Anolis sagrei: one gene and its partners. The protein of the gene in region 3 interacts with the protein of the main gene of each other region in a pairwise test. Links are inferred from orthologs where the notes say so. Each region holds a gene or a part of one and is shown on either strand. Other genes may lie near its edges.

The links.
Region 1: the proteins of RGS2 (region 3) and NIPSNAP1 interact in a two-hybrid assay, tested with the Homo sapiens proteins (2 studies listed by BioGRID and IntAct). The link is inferred for Anolis sagrei from reciprocal best matches to the Homo sapiens genes RGS2 and NIPSNAP1.
Region 2: the proteins of RGS2 (region 3) and WDR74 interact in a two-hybrid assay, tested with the Homo sapiens proteins (2 studies listed by BioGRID and IntAct). The link is inferred for Anolis sagrei from reciprocal best matches to the Homo sapiens genes RGS2 and WDR74.

What each region holds. Positions count from the first base shown.
Region 1 is NC_090034.1:48,743,461-48,747,211, forward strand, and holds the start of NIPSNAP1 (protein NipSnap homolog 1), read right to left. Parts: upstream 2,587-3,751; 5' UTR 2,552-2,586; coding exon 2,475-2,551; intron 1-2,474. Other genes in the region: NF2 (merlin), read left to right, coding at 3,101-3,160.
Region 2 is NC_090032.1:12,450,404-12,454,154, forward strand, and holds the start of WDR74 (WD repeat-containing protein 74), read right to left. Parts: upstream 2,251-3,751; 5' UTR 2,204-2,250; coding exon 2,143-2,203; intron 1-2,142. UniProt on the Homo sapiens protein: Regulatory protein of the MTREX-exosome complex involved in the synthesis of the 60S ribosomal subunit. Participates in an early cleavage of the pre-rRNA processing pathway in cooperation with NVL.
Region 3 is NC_090024.1:116,337,862-116,341,612, reverse strand, and holds the start of RGS2 (regulator of G-protein signaling 2), read left to right. Parts: upstream 1-1,211; 5' UTR 1,212-1,281; coding exon 1,282-1,391; intron 1,392-3,751. UniProt on the Homo sapiens protein: Regulates G protein-coupled receptor signaling cascades. Inhibits signal transduction by increasing the GTPase activity of G protein alpha subunits, thereby driving them into their inactive GDP-bound form.

The DNA of each region.
Region 1 (3,751 bases), on a different chromosome or scaffold from region 3:
TATATTATAAAGTAATAATAAAAGCTAGGAATAATATAAACATAACATAAAATCAAGTAGAAATGCACCCCCATTGGCCTTGGGTGAAACCTTTGGCCTGAAGCGGGCCATTCATTAACTTTGATACAGAGAAAGGAAACATTCAAAGTATTGCAATATATATAAAATATATTTCTAAATATATTAGATATATTCCTAAATATATTAAAAGTAATGCTATATATAGCAATAATTTAGGAATATTAAATACATTCCTAAATATGTTCTTAAGTATATCACTTATATTCCTAATTATATTAAAAGTATTGCTATATATATTAAATGTATTCCTCAATATATTAGATATATTCCTCTATATATATAGAGAGAGAGAGAGAGAGACTGTATATATATATATATATATATATATATATATATATATATATATATATTCCTAAATGCATTCCTATAAAAAGGTAAAGGTAGTCCCCTGACATTAAGTCCAGTCATGTCTGACTCTGGGGTGTGGTGCTCATCTCCATTTCTAAGCCGAAGAGCCAGCGTTGTCCGTAGACACCTCCAAGGTCATGTGGCTGGCATGACTGCATGGAGCGCCGTTACCTTCCCACCGGAGCGGTACCTATTGATCTACTCACATTTGCATGTTTTCGAACTGCTAGGTTGGCAGAAGCTAGGGCTGACAGCGGAAGCTCACGCCACTCCCCAGAATTGAACCTGCAACCTTTCAATCAACAAGCTCAGCAGCTCAGTGCTTTAACCCACTGCGCCACCGGGGGCTCCATTTCTATATATAATACATATTCCTAAATACATTCCTAAATGGGTCCCCTGATGGCACACCAGGTTAAACCGCTAAGCTGCTGAACTTGTTGAGTGAAAGGTTGGTGGTTCGAATCTGAGGAGTGGGGTGAGCTCCTGCTGTTAGGCCCAGCTTCCGCCAATCTAGCAGTTTGAAAATATGCAAATATGAGTAGTTCAATAGGTACAGCTTCTGCAGGAAGGTAATGGCACTCCATGCAGTCATGCCACCCACATAACCTTGGAGATGTCTATGGATAGCGCCGGCTCTTCGGCTTAGAAATGGAAATGATCACAACCTCCCAGAGTTGGACACGATTAGACTTAATGTCAGGGGAAACCTTTACTTTATATTCCTAAATATATTAGATACTAAATACCTTGAAAGTATTGCTGTATTATATATATATTCCTAAATATATTAGAAATATCCCTAAATATATAATATATATTTATACAATATATATTATATATTAAAAGTATTGCTATATATATATTAAATTTATTCCTAAACATATTCCTCAATATATTACATTCCTAGATACATTAAAAGTATTGATATATGTATATATGTGTGTGTGTGTGTATAATCTATTCCTAAATACCTTAAATATATTAAATCTATTCCTATATATATTACATATATTTATATTATATAATATATATTAAAAGTATTGCTACATATATTACACCTGTTTCTAAATCTATTCCTAAATTTGTTGTTGTTCATTCGTTCAGTCGTCTCCGACTCTTCTTGACCTCATGGACCATCCCACGCCAGAGCTTCCTGTCGGCCGTCACCACCCCCAGCTCCTTCAAGGTCAGCCCAGTCACTTCAAGGATGCCATCCATCCATCTTGCCCTTGGTCGGCCCCTCTTCCTTTTGCCTTCCACTTTCCCTAGCATCATTCCCTTCTCTAGGCTTTGCTGTCTCCTCATGATGTGGCCAAAGTACTTCAACTTTGCCTCTAGTATCCTTCCCTCCAATGAGCAGTCGGGCTTTATTTCCTGGAGGATGGACTGGTTGGATCTTCTTGCAGTCCAAGGCACTCTCAGGACTTTCCTCCAGCACCACAGTTCAAAAGCATCTATCTTCCTTCGTTCAGCCTTCCCTAAGGTCCAGCTCTCACATCCGTAGGTTACTACAGGGAATACCATGGCTTGGACTAGGCGGATCTTTGTTTCCAGTCTGATGTCTCTACTCTTTACTATTTTATCGAGACTGGACATTGCTCTCCTCCCAAGAAGTAAGCGTCTTCTGATTTCCTGGCCACAGTCTGCATCTGCAGTAATCTTTGCGCCTAGAAATACAAAGTCTATCACAGCCTCCACATTTTCTCCCTCTATTTTCCAGTTGTCAATCATTCTTGTTGCCATAATCTTGGTTTTTTTGACGTTTAGCTGCAACCCAGCTTTTGCGCTTTCTTCTTTCACCTTGATTAGAAGGCTCCTCAGCTCCTCCTCGCTTTCGGCCATCAGAGTGGTGTCATCTGCATATCTGAGGTTGTTAATGTTTCCTAAATACATCAGATATATTCCCCAATATAGTCAAACTATTTGAATATAATTTAAATCTATTCCTAATACTATTGCCCAATATATTAAATCTATTCCTAAACATATTAAGAGTATTGCTGCATGTATGTAACATATGTGTATATAACATATATTCCTACCGGAAGCCCAGGCTAGAAAAGGAAAAGGCCGCTCTGCCCCGAAGAGCCTCCAAAACCAGCTTCCGCGTAGCAGCCATTTTTTCCCTCTCCGAACCAGGAGGCGAAGGAGGGCACGCCCCTTTATTTAGGGGCGTGGCTTGGTCTCAAGAGGGGCGGGGCCGCGAGGCCTTGCTTTAGCAACAAACGTCATTCGGCCTTTCTTCCTCGAGGGGGCGCTCTTTCCCAGCCAGCCAATTACAATGGCCTTTATGGAGAGGGCGGGTCTTTGGGGGCCAAATGGCAGGCGAACGCACCAATCGGAACACTCATTACCCTTTCCCTTTAAGACAGACATCTAACACTTCGGGTTTCGTTTGAAAAGCCGAGGGGGAAAGAGTTGCTTTCCATTTTCCCGCCTCGCAAATGGCGCCTCGTTTTTCTATCGGCACCCGGAAGTATAACACATAAGCCATCTCGTAGGCACCTCTATGTCTCCTTAAAATAGGATTCCAAAAGAAAAGAATTGCCCGCTCCGCCTCTTCGGGGGCGTGGCCTATTTTCCCTCCACAACCAATAGCAAACGACGAGGAGAGGCAACCACTAGGCAGCGTTGGGCCTCAACCCCGCCTCCTGAGGGGGCGTGGCCAATGCCAACCAATCGGGAGCGGGAGAGACGAGGAGTGGCAGCTCCGGCTCCGGCGGCGGAGGTGAGGGCCGATTTCTTTTCCTTCGGGGGGGCTGTTCCCCCTTCCCTCCCCCCGCGCTTTCAGGGGGCTGTTCCGTATACCCCCCCGCACCCCTGATTTCCCCCCTTTCCTTCCGTTTTTACCCCAAAACATGAGGGAAACGGCTTTCGTAGGCCTCCCTTCCCCCTCATCTCCTCTTAAGATTGGAAAAAAGCCGTTTATGCCCCATAAGTGGCCTTTTTTGAATCAATCAATAGATAATCGATATTTATTATATCCTCGAAGGAAAAGAAACTCTTCCCTCCCCCCATTTTCCCTATAAAGCTTTCTTTGTTAATAAACCAAGCCAGAGTTTGGCTCCTCCCTCTTCCAATCCTCCCTAAAACTATTCCAATCGATCCACTGATTGATCCCTTGTCCTAACTCTTCAATACGAATCATAGGACAAGGGTCTCCCAATACAAAACACTTTTTCAGTCAGTTGATGAATCAGTCAATGGATGGACTGATCAATTGATTGATTGATGGATTGATCAATTAATCAGTTAATGGACGGATTGATCAATGATCCCATTCATTTCCCTCATAGGACAAGAAAGACACTTCTTTACC
Region 2 (3,751 bases), on a different chromosome or scaffold from region 3:
AGAAGCAGATGGTGAAGACTGAATAACGGCCTGCCTCAGGGGAGTGTGCTTGCTCCGTCAATGTTTAACATTTACACAAATGACCAGCCACTGCCAGACAGGACAGAAAGTTTCATCTATGCTGATGATCGTGCCATTACCGCTCAAGCAGGGAGCTTAGAAATGGTTGAACAGAAGCTCTCTGAATCTTTAAGAGCTCTTACTGCCTCTTACAGAGAAAACCAGCTGATTCCTAATTCATCTAAAATGCAGACATGTGCTTTTCTCCTTAAGAACAGACAAGCATCGCAAGCTCTGAAGATTACATTGGAAGGAATCATACAGGAGCATTACAGCACATCCAAATACCTGGGAGTCACTCTGGACTGTGCTCTGACTTATAAGAAGCACTGCTTGAATATCATGCAAAAAGTGGGTGCTAGAAACAACACCATGTGAAAGCTAATTGGCAGAACCTTGGGATCACAACCAGACACAGTGAAGACATCTGCCTTTGTGCTCTGCTACTCTGCTGCTGACTACACATGCCCAGTGTGGAACACCAGGCTATTTATTTATCGTGTCAGGAGCAGACCAAACAGTTGCATTGCATTTTTTAACAAATGAACAAACAAAAAAACAAACAAACAAACAAAACACAAAGTTTGCAAGCTTGGTGGTTGATTAAATGTCCTTTGACCAGTATCTGGCCACTTGGAGTGCCTCTGGTGTTGCCGCAAGAAGGTCCTCCATTGTGCATGTGGCAGGGCTCAGGCTGGTCAGCAGGTGGTCAGTGGTTTGCTCTTCTCTGCACTCGCATGTCATGGGTTCCACTTTGTAGCCCCATTTCTTAAGGTTGTCAATTGGTGACTGAGAGCGGATGAGGGAGTCCCCCCTGGGCACACAGAAGACTGGGCGACTTGGAAGGCGCTGAACAGACTGCGTTCTGGCACCACGAGATGCAGAGCCAACCTCAAGAAATGGAGGTACTAAGTGGAGTCCACGAGAAGGTGCATGTGGCAGGGCTCAGGCTGCATTGTTGTAAGTGGCCTGTGGTTTCTCCATATGTGCGAACGTGGAGAAGAAGAAAACACAGACCACTTCCTACACAACCTGGGGATCACAACCAGATACAGTGAAGACATCTGCCCTTGCGCTATGCTACTCTGCTGCTGAGTATGCATGCCCAGTGTGGAACACATCTCACCACACTAAAACAGTAGATGTGGCTCTTAATGAGACATGCCATATTATCACAGGGTGTCTGCGCCCTACACCACTGGAGAAATTACACTGCTTAGCCGGTATTGTACCACCTGACATCCGCCGGGAAGATGCAGCCAATAGTGAAAGTACCAAGGCAGAGACATCTCCAGCTCATCCCCTGTTTGGGTATCAGCCAGCATGTCAACGACTTAAATCTAGAAATAGTTTTCTTAGATCTACAGAGACACTTGCTGGAACACCTCAGCAAGCAAGAGTCCAAAAGTGGCAGGCTCAAACCCAGCACCTCAATCTGTGGGTGATACCAGATGAGAGACTCCTCCTTGGGCACACAGAAGACTGGGCGACTTGGAGGCGCTGAACAGACTGCGCTCTGGCACCACGAGATACAGAGCCAACCTCAAGAAATGGGGCCACAAAGTTTAATCCACGACATGCGAGTGTGGAGAGGAACAAACCACTGACCACCTGCTGCAATGCACCCTGAGCCCTGCCACATGCACAATGGAGGACCTTCTTGTGGCAACACCAGAGGCACTCCAAGGGGCCAGATACTGGTCAAAGGACATTTAATCAGCTACCAAGTTTGCAAAATTTGTGGGGTTTTTTGTTTGTTTTTTATCTGTTTGTTTGTTTTGTTCTGTTAGAAATGTAATACAATGTTCTTGTTGCGGATGACACAATAAATAAATAAATACTTCCTACACTGCAACCTGAGCCCTGCCACATGCACCTTCTCACAGCGACACCAGAGGCACTCCAAGTGGCCAGCTTCTGGTCAAAGCACGTTTAGTACAAGGCCAAGTTCTTAACTTTGTGGTTTGAAATACCTTACAACTGTATCCTCAATTCGCTCCTGACACGCTCAATACAGAAACGCCCTTCTTCCCTCCTCCTCCTTCCTTCCTTCCTTCCCAAGAAGTCCTTGCTCCCGGTTACCTTTCAGGAGGCCCGTCTCGGCGCCCACCCACACGTGGCTCCCCCAGGCAGGAGCCGCCATGACTGCCGCTTCCAGGCACCCGAGCGAGCCGGACGCTTGAGAGTGGCGCACTGCTACGCACCGACGCGCCACCTGATTGGCTGGCCGGCCTCTCCTGGGTGTCACACTCATATCCTTCCCCCGGGAGGCTATTAAGTGCCAAAACGACTTCCTGGAACCAATGCTTGTCTAAGGAGGACGATGTGGCCGGCGCTTTGACCCAGATGTGAGCTCTGGACTCCACTGTCAAGCTGGGGCCTTCAAGCAGGAGGCAAGGGCTGCGCCGACGCTGCACTTTGGCCCTCCCTCCCGCCCTCCCTCCACTGGCATGGCTCAAGGCCAAGGACTCTTAGGAGACCGAGTTCGAGGGGACTCCCAACACTCTCTCTCAAAGGCTTTGTTTTCTTTGCCGACTGTCCAAACGTGATCCAGTCTAAGGAGCAGGAAGGCAGGGAGCAGGCCTGTAGCGAGGGGGTGGTTTTAGGGGTTCAACCCCCCCCCGAAATGTTTCAGATTTTTTTAAAAACCTGGTTTACTCATGAATTTTAACTGGTTAACCAAAACTCCATGCTAAGTCTATGAGATGCAAAAAAATTAAGAGTCTCTCCAGAACTGCAAGCACTATCATCTCAAGCAAATATTGACAATTTATTCACACTGTCATTACTTGCAGGAATAGCCGATGTAGTGAAGCAACCAAGTTGGGTGTGTCTGTATTGAATGTGTCCAGAGGAGGGCGACTAAGAGGGTCTGGAGAACAAGCCCTATGAGGAGCGGCTTAGGGAACTGGGCATGTTTAGCCTGAAGAAGAGAAGGCTGAGAGGAGACATGATAGCCATGTATAAATATGTGAGAGGAAGCCACAGGGAGGAGGGAGCAAGCTTGTTTTCTGCTTCCCTGGAGACTAGGACGCGGAACAATGGCTTCAAACTACAAGAGAGAAGATTCCATCTGAACACAAGGAAGAACTTCCTGACTGTGAGAGCCGTTCAGCAGTGGAACTCTCTGCCCCGGAGTGTGGTGGAGGCTCCTTCTTTGGAAGCTTTTAAGCAGAGGCTGGATGGCCATCTGTCAGGGGTGATTTGAATGCAATATTCCTGCTTCTTGGCAGAATGGGGTTGGACTGGATGGCCCATGAGGTCTCTTCCAACTCTTTGATTCTATGATTCTATGAATGCTCCCATTAAGGAGGCCAGACTTGGTGGAGGTGGTTGACAGGGGCAGAGCTGCAGGCTATTGAAGGCTGCTCTCCCCCCTGCTGTGCTCTTTGCTTCAGTGTGAGCTAAGAGGCTGGTTTCAACCCCCCCCCCCCCCCGTGAAATTTTCAACCCCTCCCGAAAAAGTTTTCTGGCTACGGCCCTGGCAGGGAGGAAGGAGGGGGGAGGGAGAAGGGAGGAAGGAAGAGGTGGAAGGAAGGAAGGAAGGAAGGAAGGAAGGAGGAGGAGGGAGAAGGAGGGAAGAAGGAGAAGGAAAGAAGGAGGGGGAAGGGGAAGGAAGGAAGAGGTGGAAGAAGGAAGGAAGGAAGGAGGTTGGAGGAAGGAAATAAGTAACAAGTGAAGTGCCGCAGGG
Region 3 (3,751 bases):
CGTTGTGTGTATATACATGTATATACAAACAATCTACAAACCCACCAAGAAAATCCAACAAATGCTACGTTCAGCAAAGGACAAGAGGGATCCTCTCACCTCTGCAGGAGTCTACCGTGTACCATGCAGCTGTGGACAAGTCTACATAGGGACCACCAAACGCAGCATCGCCCAGACACGCATGAAGGAACATGAAAGGCACTGCAGACTACTTCAACCAGAGAAGTCAGCCATAGCAGAGCACCTGGTGAACCAACCTGGACACAGCATATTATTTGAGAACACAGAAATGCTGGACCACTCCAACAACCACCATGTCAGACTACACAGAGAAGCCATTGAAATACACAAGCATGTGGACAATTTCAACAGAAAGGAGGAAACCACGAAAATGAACAAAATCTGGCTACCAGTATTAAAAAAAATCTAAAATTGCAACAGCAAAAACAGCAGAGAGAAAAACAGGCAGGGACATCTAATCACCTTTCAAGAAGAGTTTGCTCCAGGCACAGTCAGCCCATTGTATGCTAATCAAGGTGGTCAGTTGAAAGATCCACACCTAGCCCAACTTACAAAAGCCCTTTGTCTCACCCTGGTCATTCCACAGATATATAAACCCTTTTTTCCCCAGTTTCAGCAGACCTCACCTCTGAGGAAGCTTGCCATAGATGCAGGCGAAACGTCAGGAGAAATGCCTCTAGAACATGGCCATATAGTCCGAAAAAACCCACAAGAACTGAGTGATTCCGGCCATGAAAGCCTTCGACAATACATTAAAATTACATTTTTATTTATATAGAGATATGCATGCACATTTATATATAAATATATATATAAATATTTATATAAAAATAATTATATATATAAATGCATGCACATTTATATATAAATATATAAATATAAATAAACACACACATATATATGTAAATTATATATATATTCATGCACATTTCTAATTCTCAGTCATGTCCCCAGTTTGCAGGCGACTCCTCGTGAGGTCTATTTTTTGCCACAAACAGCAACTCAAAAGACAAAAAAAAAAGGGCAAGAGGGAGAGAGGCGCGCGCCACCTACGTCAACGCTGTTCTCCTGAGGACGCGGGGCTCGCGCGCTCCTTGTTTGGGGAGGCCTCCCTCGGCGCAGCCAATCAGCGATCCGGGGGAGGGAGGTGGGCGTCTCCCTCCCAGCCCTCCGCCTCTATAAAAGGACCAGCCGGGCGGAGGGGAGGCTCAAAGCGTGGTCGCCAACCTTGGAAGCTTGCTGGATTTCCTTGCGGGGATTATGCAGAGTGCAATGTTCCTGGCTCTCCAGCACAACTGCAGCACGATGGAGAAAAACGCCAGCCTCTGCCCGAGCAAAGAGGAGAAAAAGGGGAAGATGAAGAAAACTCTGTAAGTGTGCAGGAGGGGGAGATGGGAAGGGGCTTCCAAATGCTGACATAGCGACTAAAATGATCAAGGGTCTGGAGAACAAGCCCTATGAGGAGCGGCTTAGGGAACTGGGCATGTTTAGCCTGAAGAAGAGAAGGCTGAGAGGAGATATGATAGCCATGTATAAATATGTGAGAGGAAGCCACAGGGAGGAGGGAGCAAGCTTGTTTTCTGCTTCCTTGGAGACTAGGACGCGGAACAATGGCTTCAAACTACAAGAGAGGAGATTCCATCTGAACATGAGGAAGAACTTCCTGACTGTGAGAGCCGTTCAGCAGTGGAACTCTCTGCCCCGGAGTGTGGTGGAGGCTCCTTCTTTGGAAGTGTTTAAACAGAGGCTGGATGGCCATCTGTCAGGGGTGATTTGAATGCAATATTCCTGCTTCTTGGCAGGGGGTTGGACTGGATGGCCCATGAGGTCTCTACCAACTCTTTGATTCTATGATTCTATGATAGCAACTAATGCGGGGTCAGTCAACTTGAGAAACTGCAAGTCGCTTCTGGTGTGAGAGAATTGGCTGTCTGCAGGGAGGTTACCCAGGGGACACCCAGAGATTCCATCTGAACATGAGGAAGAACTTCCTGACTGTGAGAGCCGTTCAGCAGTGGAACTCTCTGCCCTGGAGTGTGGTGGAAGCTCCTTTGGAGGTTTTTAAGTAGATGGCTATCTGTCAGGGATGCTTTCAATGCAATATTCCTGCTTCTTGGCAGGGGGTTGGACTGGATCTGTAGTGTAGATGCACCTCAAACAGCCCGAACAGGGTTGTGGTTGATAGCAGGACAGCCTGTGGCATGTTGGGGACCAATTTGGAAAATCCTATTTTAAGATACAGTTGGGAAAGGTCAGGTTTGTTGTTGCCAAACTCCTTTGCTGCAAAGTAAACCCAGGAGAAAGAATAGCTCTGGATCTGGTTGGGAGGGATTGAGTTACCTGCATCATATTTGCAGCCAATCTGTATTTCACAACTTGGGGTGCTTTTGCTGTATTCAGGCCCCTTCCACACAGCTGAATAAAATCCCACATTTTCTGCTTTGAAGTGTGGACTCGGATAACCCAGATCAAAGCAGATATTGTGGGATTTTCACCCTTGATATTCTGGGAGATAGAACCAAAGAGTTGGAAGAGACCTCATGGGCCATCCAGTCCAACCCCCTGCCAAGAAGCAGGAATATTGCATTCAAATCACCCCTGACAGATGGCCATTCAGCCTCTGTTTAAAAGCTTCCAAAGAAGGAGCCTCCACCACACTCTGGGGCAGAGAGTTCCACTGCTGAACGGCTCTCACAGTCAGGAAGTTCTTCCTCGTGTTCAGATGGAATCTCTGGGCGTCTCCTGGGTAACGTCCTTGCAGACGACCAATTCTCTCACACCAGAAGCGACTTGCTGTTTCTCAAGTTGCTCCTGACACGACAAAAAAGAAGAAGATGGAATTTCCTCTCTTGTAGTTTGAAGCCATTGTTCCGCGTCCTAGTCTGCAGGGAAGCAGAAAACAAGCTTGTTCCCTCCTCCCTATGAATTCCTCTCATGTATTTATACATGTCTCCTCTCACTCTTCTCTTCTTCAAACTAAATATGTCCAGCTTTTTAAGCCACTCTTCACAGGGCTACTTCCAAGCTCAAAGGAGTTACTTGGAGGGCAGAGAGTCCCTTGTAAAATCTTGCAGTTTAACTAAAGATTGCACCTCTTTGTAGAGATAGGGTTGATCCTTGGATTGTCGAAGGCTTTCATGGCCGGAATCACTGGATGTTGTAGGTTTTTTCGGGCTATATGGCCATGGTCTAGAGGCATTTTCTCCTGACGTTTCGCCTGTATCTATGGCAAACATCCTCAGAGGTAGTGAGGTCTGTTGGAAGTAGGAAAATGGGTTTATATATCTGTGGAATGACCAGGGTGGGACAAAGGACTTTTTTCTGCTGCAGCTAGGTGTGAATGTTTCAACTGACCACCTTGATTAGCATTTGATTGTCTGGCAGTACCTGGAGCAATCCTTTGTTGAGAGGTGATTAGATGTCCTTGTTTGTTTCCTCTCTGTTGTTGCACTGTTCTAATTTTAGAATTTTTTTTAATAATGATAGCCAGATTTTGTTCATTTTCTAATCACCAGAACACCTGGGGACCCACAGGTTGAGAACCACTGTTCTAGAGGCATTCTCTCCTGACGTTTTGCCTGCATCTATGGCAAGCATCCTCAGGCGAAATGTCAGGAGAGAATGCTTCTAGAACATGGCCATATAGCCCGAAAAAACCTACAACAACCCAGTGATTCCAGCCATAAAAGCCTTCGACAATACATTGTAATATTGATAGTTTCTTTTTAAG